Callithrix jacchus: one gene and its partner. The protein of the gene in region 2 purifies or fractionates together with the protein of the main gene of each other region. This does not show direct contact. Links are inferred from orthologs where the notes say so. Each region holds a gene or a part of one and is shown on either strand. Other genes may lie near its edges. The genes, in order: PHGDH and EPN1.

Region 1 (3,804 bases), on a different chromosome or scaffold from region 2:
GAAGGTTCTGTGATATGCTGAAGGTAATGTGGCTATGAACTGGTGGAATCCAGCTCAGCCTTCCAGGCTGCCACTCTTTGCCCAATACCACCCGACTCTATTCACAATCCACTGTAGTTAAACAGTCCCTGTGTCAGACCACTATGCTGCTTAGCTATTCCAAAGACAGACACTCTCCAGAATAGGCAGCTCCTATTCTGTGGTACCTGGAATGTTTATTGCCCAGAGCAGTGATTTTCAAACTCAGAGCCTCAGGTTCTGGCAAGGTGCCTTAGAGACACAGGTGGGAGCAAGGAGGGGCCCCAGGGAGACAGCAGGTGGTGGCAATTTGAGCCTTCACCTCTGCAGCTTTGAACTGATCTGTCTTCATATGTGGGTAGGGAGAGTTCCAGTGCTAAATTAAAAATTCAGCTATGGGGCAGAGAGAGGGCGTGACCTTCAAGGTTCTCTCTCGTTCGGAGCCTCTCTAACTGGGAGGCCTCCTTGCTCTCCTCTTTGCTCCGATGAGCCAGCATACCAACCAGCCTCTCAGGGCTGCTTTCCGTGACCTCAGGCAGCTAGGAGTCACCAGCTGCCCTGGAGTCCTGCTTAGAAAGTGAGGCTTCCTCTGTTGTATCAACATCAGGAGTCTGTCCTGGGGCTGCGATTGAGGTGAGGGAACCCCTTCAGGCTTCTCCCCAAGGCTTCTCTCTGGGAGTAGTCTTTGAATGGTGAGTACTCAGAGCTGCTCCAATTTCTGTGTATTAGGATATCTGACCCTTTCCAGGACACATCAGGACCCTGGCAGGCACGTGTGTCCTGGGCCTGATGTCACCCTTTCCATCCCCTCAACACTGTCTCCTAGTGTCGGAACCCCAACCCTTAGCTGAGTTCACCTCTTTTCTGCCCTGGTTATCTCAAATGGAAAATGAGAACAGAGGTTTGCTCAGCGAGATTCCTTCCCTGCAGTCATCTGCAGATAAATGAGATACTCTCTGTGAAAGAAGGAAGCTGAGTCAGTGCTTTGCTGACCACTGAGGAAGATGCTCACCTGCCCCTCTCCCCAGCCCTCTCCCTGCAGCCCCAGGCACCTGCCTATGGAGGGGACCAGGCTCAGCCTGCAGGGTCCCTCCTCCTGCCAGCCCCCAGGCTGTTCTTGGCTCCTGAGCTGGAAACAGATGTCAGCCAGTCTGGATCTTGCAATCTCTATTGGTATTCCTTTCCTCTCCCCACTCCATGTGAGAAAAAAAATACATTTGGATTAGAGATGAACAGGGCCATTGTTGCTGCCAGCCTCAGAGCCAGCAGACAAAGAGGACTTGTGACTACGATGGCAGGGACCCCGCCTCCTCCCCTGGACACTTTCTTCTCCCCACCAGGAATGAGTAGGTTACCCGGGCGCGGTGGCTCATGTCTATAATCCCGGCACTTTGGGAGGCCGAGGCGGGTGGATCACAAGGTCAAGAGATTGATACCATCCTGGCCAACATGGTGAAATCCGTCTCTACTAAAAAAATTCAAGAATTAGCTGGGCTTGGTGGTGTGTGCCTGTAATCCCAGCCACTCAGGAGGCTGAGGCAGGAGAATTGCTTGAACCCTGGAGGCGGAGGTTGCAATGAGCTGAGATTGTGCCACCGCACTCCAGCAAGACTCTGTCTCAAAAAAAAAAAAAAAAAAGAAAAGAAATGAATAGCTTAGAGCCAAGGGGAGCAGCAGTGTCTGAAAAAGACCACGTGCATTCTGAGCTGGCAGTTCTTACAGGGCATGGGGGTGGCAGTATCTTTCCCCAAAACCTGCCTGATCATTAGTGTGGGACCACTTGGCTTTCCTTGTTCCACAAGGCTAAAGATGAAAAACGCGATCCAGAGGCTTCACCTTACTCGTAACTATGTTCAGCTTCTGCCCTAGAAGTACTGAATTTGAAGTCCTCTTCCCTACTATGTTCTTTTCTATTTTTTCTGAGACAGGGTCTTGGTCTGTCACCCAGGCTACAGCCTCAACCTCCGAGGTCCAAGTGACTCTCCTGGCTCAGCCTCCTGAGTGACACAGGTGCGTGCCACCACACTCAGCTAATTACTTAATACTTTGTAGAGGAAGGGTCTTACTATATTGCCCCAGCTAGTCTCCAACTACTGGGGTCAAGTGATTCTCCTGCCTCAGCCTCCCAAAGTGCTGGGATTATAGGCGTGAGCCATGGCACCCAGCTTTGCCATTATGTCCTAAAGTATCTATTCTGTATCCCTAATTTCAAAAGTAATTTATGAATATGTAGTGGAGAACTTGGAAGCACAGAAAGTAAAGGAGAAAAATAATTCCACCACCCAGGGACAGCGGCTGTGAAAGTACTGTGCTGTGTCTTCTGTTTTTAATCAAGTCCTTATATTCTCCCTCTGGATTAAGGGGAATTTCTCTTCAAATAATTCCCAGTGATTGAATGTGACAGTGACAGATGACTGCAGTTACCTGCCTTCCTCCTTTATTTAGGGTTCAGGACCCAGGTTCAGGGGGACGCAGTGGGCAGTGACTGCGGGAGGCTGCGGGTCAGGCCTCCTGGTTGAGAGGGCACGTGCTGTTGCTCCTGCTCCGGGTCCTGCCTTGCACCCCTGTTGCCCTCCTCCTTCGCTTCTGCTCACTCTGTTTTAGTACCTGGTGCACCTGTCTGTTTTCTGGACTGGACCTTCCAGCTGTAGCTCCCATTTCTCCTCCCTTTCCCAGCTGTCTGCTCCCCATGTGACTGCCCGCCCTGGCTGCTTTCTGAGGGCTCCCAAGCTCCACCTGGTCCAGACACACGTGAGCTACTGTGGCATCTGTGTGGGGTCAGAGCACGGAGGCACACACACGTTCCTCTGAGCTCTGGCCGTGCCCCTCCTCATTTTAGAAGCCCTGCTTCCCTCAGCTCTCAAGCAGACAGGCCACCATCCCAGCACCTTTGTGCTATCATCAGAATCAAACCGGAGAATTAATTAAGCTGAGCATGGTACCGAGTATATGGAAAATGCTCACAAAATGTTTGCTATTCTTAAAAATAACAATACTCATAATTAAGAATGACACTTCCTCCCTCTCTCTGTCTTCTGACCAGACGATCGGGTATGACCCCATCATTTCCCCAGAGATCTCGGCCTCCTTTGGTGTTCAACAGCTGCCCCTGGAGGAGATCTGGCCTCTCTGTGATTTCATCACTGTGCACACTCCTCTCCTGCCCTCCACCACAGGTAGGTGCATCCTTACATCGTGGGTTGGCACAGAAGCCACAGACCAGTTAACAAATGGGCCCTCCACCTGGGCCTTCTGCAGGCGCTGGTAACCGGCTGTGGGGAGGGGCACCCTGGTCCTGCAGAGCCTGGTGCTTTGTTAGATGCCCCTGCATTGGATGCAGGGGGGTAAGCCAGCTGGAAGTGCTTGGGGCCTAGGTGAACTGGCCACAGGGACAACCATGACTCCATGGATGCTTCCTGCAGCCCCTGCAGGGCTTTCTGATTCCCAGACCCACTTGAAACAGTAAGATCTCAAGAATTTCTAAGGCGTTTCTAAGCTGAGTCTGGCCCAGACGCATAACAGGGACTGCTGCCCCAGTGCGTCCGCGGAGGAAGAGATGAGATCGAGGAGGCTGCCGTCTAGCAGGAGAGGGGCTCTGGGAGCCAGGGATGAGCGTGGGGATCCCAGTGCTGCCCCAGCAGGAAGATGCTTCGTTTTCTTCCAGGCTTATTGAACGACGGCACCTTTGCCCAGTGCAAGAAGGGGGTACGTGTGGTGAACTGCGCCCGTGGAGGGATCGTGGATGAAGGCGCCCTGCTCCGGGCGCTGCAGTCTGGCCAGTGTGCC
Region 2 (3,904 bases):
CCGCACAACACACGGCAGCCGGCAGCAACTGGAATGGCAGCAATTAAGGGTGGGGGGCGGGGGTTGGGGGTTAGGGCAGGGACGGGACTGGGGAAGTGCGCACACAGCCCACAAGACAACATGCACCCACACAGACACAGAGGGAAGGGGTAGGGATGGGGACAGGGTGCACAGCAGGGCGGGGTACGACCCCAGCCCCTCCCAAAACAGCCTCTCCCTTCTCCCTTAGACCCCATTCTCCTCCCCTTCCCCACAGTAGGAACATAGCGTGTTTATATTTTATGGCCAAACTACTTTGAATTCTGTTGTCCGGCCCTCAGTGCCCTGCCCTCTCCCTTATCAGGACCACAGCTCTGTTCCTTCGGCCTCTGGTCCTCTCTGGTCCCCTCCCGGATTTCTTATGTAGTTGATTTTTCCCTCTTTAGTCTCCCCAATCTGCGCCCAGCCCCGTGGCTCTGTCCCTCTGTCCTTCTCCTACTCTCTGTGGCAGTTTCATATTTGCTAAGACGAATTTGCTCATTAAACATTTTGTTGTATTTTACTTTATGGAGCGGCTGTGTGTCCAGTGTGTCCCACCCTCTTCCTCGGTTCCGGGCTCGGGTGGGGGTCCCCTTGGCAAACTGCGGGCCCCTGACCGGGACGCCCCCGGTGCCGGCATCCGCATCCCCGGGGCCTTCCCTGCTAGCGCAGTGCGCTTCTGGGGGTTGGCACAGGCACGGCTCGGGGGGGTGGGGCGTGAAGTTCCCGAGTGATCTCCCACCCCACCGGCAGGAGGGAGGATTGGCCGAGCGGGACCGGGCGGGCGCGGCGTGGGTGCGCCAGGAACTCCATGAATTCCGCGGAGGGAGCTGGGACTGAGCCTCGGGGTCCCGTGCGGAGCCTAGCGGCGGCGGGCAAAAATGACGTAAAGAACACTTAGTAACGGGGACCTGCGCGCCGGAAGTGATGCCTCCCTGGTTGGCTGGGCTGCGGAAGTAACTCCCGCCTGGGCCGGGTGCGGCACGGGAGGGCGGGGAGCGCGGCAATTTCCGCTTCCGGTCCGTCGCCTTCGGTAGCTTCCCGTCTTCCCGGCGGCTCCCCTCCCCCGCCCGGCTCTCCGCGCCCCTTCTGGGCGGCGGGGCGGCGGGGCCCTGGGCGTGCGGCCCTCCGTGCGTTTGTGCGTGCGCCCGTGCCGCCTCCTGGTCCGCCGCCCGCGGCCCGGCGCACGCTCCGCGACACCGAGGCCGAGCGGGGCAGGGTGCTGACCGCCATGACCCCCCGGAGCCCAGCGTGAGGGGGCCGAGGTGAGCGCAGGGGACGCCGGCCCGCTTGCTCCGGGTGTTCGGGCTTGGTCCGCGGCGCGTGCGGGCTCGGGCCGGGCCTCGGGTTCTGGGTGTCTCTGGCGGCCTTTGTGTCTCTTTTCTTGGGTCGGCCTTGACTGCCCCCGTGTCGGTGTCGGTGTCGGTGTCGGTGTCTGTCTCTCCCCCTGCCCCTCGTGTCTCCCTCTCTGTCGTGTCTGTCGGCGTCTGTTTGCCGTGGGCCTCTGCCTGTCCCAGTGGCCTTAGAAGAGGGTTTGGACGTAGGAGCGTGTCTGTCCCGAGTCTCTTTCTCCTCTGTCATGTCCGTGTCTCTCAGGATTTTGTTCTTGTCTCTGAGTTTCCGAGTCTTCGTTTCCCAGGGTGTCCCCAGCCCTCCCCTGCGGACTCTTCTGCCCCGTCTTCGCATCTGTTTTTGCCCCCGTATCTATCACCTCCGATCCTGAAGTCTCTTTCCAGGAGTCTTGCTTGGTCTAGAAGAATCTGCCCCTTTTCTGCAGTTTTCTGAGTCTCTGGTGTGATGGTGAAGAGTCCCAGGCTTGGATTCAGAGGCCCGGGCTGCCTGCTAAGCCGTGCGATATTTGCCATGTGCTATTGTGTATCTCCAAACCTCAGTTGCCTAGTCTTTAAAATGGGACGTTCATAGTTCCTGCACCACAGGGTCCTTGTGCATGTAAATTGAGGTGATGCTTCTACAGTGCCGGGCCGTCTCTGGTACAGAGGAAGTGTGTAATTACGGGGAGCTCTGGTTTTTATTATTACAGTGCTTAGAGATTTTGACACAGGAAGCGTTAGGTGTCGGTCGGTCATTGGAGTATTCCTTGGGGAATTTTGTCATATTCTTTGTATGCTTTTTAATCTATTAATTCTCGGAATCAGTTTAATTTGAAATACAGTCATTCTAAGCAGTATCTAAGAACTCTTAGCTTTGATGTGCTAATCTATGTTTTTCTCCTGCACACTCCACAGTGTGAAGACAGTGCAGTGTCTGCTGCCACCCTTTTGGAGCTGTTCTCTGCTTTTTTCTCTGATGATAGCAGCCAGTGTTATTGAGCGCCTACTATCTGTGGGGCACACGGCCAAGCACTGTATGTACCCATCTTATTTAATCAACAGGCCTGCCAGGTAGGCCTTCTTTCATTTCAGAGTGGAGCAAACTGCACCTCAAGGTTTGTGCTGCAGGTAGCTGATGTGGCCAGGATTTGAACCCGGTTGATGTTCTTTTCCATTATATGCCATTCTTTTGTCTCTTACTTCTCAGTGCCAGGTGTCATATTGTTTCTGGGCCTCTATCTTTCCTCCTTGGCCTCCTGCCTCCCTATTTTCCCATGTCTCATATCTGCTGCTGTCTGTGTCTTTCTCACTGTCTCTCTGGGTAGTTCTCTCTGCCTGGGTTTCGGTGTGTCTGTTTCTTGTCAGTCTTCTTCTCTGTATTTGTTAAATTCATTTCTTGTCAGTCTCCTCTATATTTGTTACATCATTGCTTCATCAAAATGTGTTGGGCTGGGGCTGCTTTGGGACATCTGTCTTCAGGTGCCTGGCCCTGTGGCCTGAGTTGGAAGCAGAGGCCAGCCTCTCTCAGTCATCCCTATCTCCCCTGGGCTTACATCATCGTAAGGCTTTGTAAGCCTCCCTCTGTGGCTTGTTGGAGCCTCATAGACTGGTGATTAGAGCTGGCTCTGGAACCAGGCTGCTCCAGGAGTAAGGTGTGTGTCCGTGGGCAAGAAGCTGAATCTCTCTGTGTCTCAGTTTCCACCGTGTGAGGTGGCTGTGAATCATGGGGTTGTTTGAAGGGTTAACTGACTTAATACATGTAAAGCGCTTACAGCAGGGCCTGGCCGGGATAAGAGCCTCGCAAGTGTCCGCTGGTGTAATCATCATTTGCTTGACTCTCCTTCTGTTTCTTATCACCAGTTTTGGGTTGGGTTAATGTAATTTAGGTTAATTTAAAAGTACAAGTTTTGGAGTTCAGGTGGGCCTTGGGTTGAGTCTGCCCTGCCATTCCTGGTGTGTGACTTTGGTTGAATTATTTAACCTCCAGGAGCCCAGTCTCTACATGCACTGTTGAAAGAGGGAATGTCCCTCTCTTGTGCTGAGTGAGTGCCTGGCTCTCAGCTGGGACCCAGGCAGTGGAGCTGTTAGGTTCCTTATCTCTTCTGAGCCTTGGGCTTCGCCTGCCCTTGTCTGGTCCTCTGGCTTCCGCAGTTCCTGACACCCTGGGTTGGCTCCCAGCTCCTGCCCCTCTCTTTAATCCTTTCCATCAGCCTTCTTTCCCATGTGTCGCTTCTGCTGTGTATTCCTGTCCACTCCACCCTTGTTCCAGTGGTCTCACCTGCCCCCCACCCCCAACGTCCTCCTTGCATGGTTTACTGAATGGTTTTTCTGGGCCAGCTTCTTTGCTGGGAAAAGCCACGTCTAGACAAACAAGATCTCTGCCTGCTGGGGGCCTGAGGGTTGACCTTAGCTACAGAATCAGACAATATAAAATCGTCAGGGAGATTGAGTTTACTGATGAGGCTCCAGGGAAAGGCAACCATGGTGTTTGGATGTGGACTTGAGAAGTGTTAGCAGAGCCCTGTGGTGAGTGTCCGTTCCTGGGTGAGGAAGAA

What was found.
Region 1: the proteins of EPN1 (region 2) and PHGDH purify together in Homo sapiens (affinity purification with mass spectrometry; 3 studies listed by BioGRID and IntAct, with this or other methods). This does not show direct contact. The link is inferred for Callithrix jacchus from reciprocal best matches to the Homo sapiens genes EPN1 and PHGDH.

The regions. Positions count from the first base shown.
Region 1 is NC_133508.1:157,957,500-157,961,303, reverse strand, and holds part of PHGDH (D-3-phosphoglycerate dehydrogenase), read left to right. Parts: intron 1-3,061; coding exon 3,062-3,194; intron 3,195-3,682; coding exon 3,683-3,804. UniProt on the Homo sapiens protein: Catalyzes the reversible oxidation of 3-phospho-D-glycerate to 3-phosphonooxypyruvate, the first step of the phosphorylated L-serine biosynthesis pathway.
Region 2 is NC_133523.1:48,536,710-48,540,613, forward strand, and holds the start of EPN1 (epsin-1), read left to right. Parts: upstream 1-1,030; 5' UTR 1,031-1,283; intron 1,284-3,904. UniProt on the Homo sapiens protein: Binds to membranes enriched in phosphatidylinositol 4,5-bisphosphate (PtdIns(4,5)P2). Modifies membrane curvature and facilitates the formation of clathrin-coated invaginations. Regulates receptor-mediated endocytosis.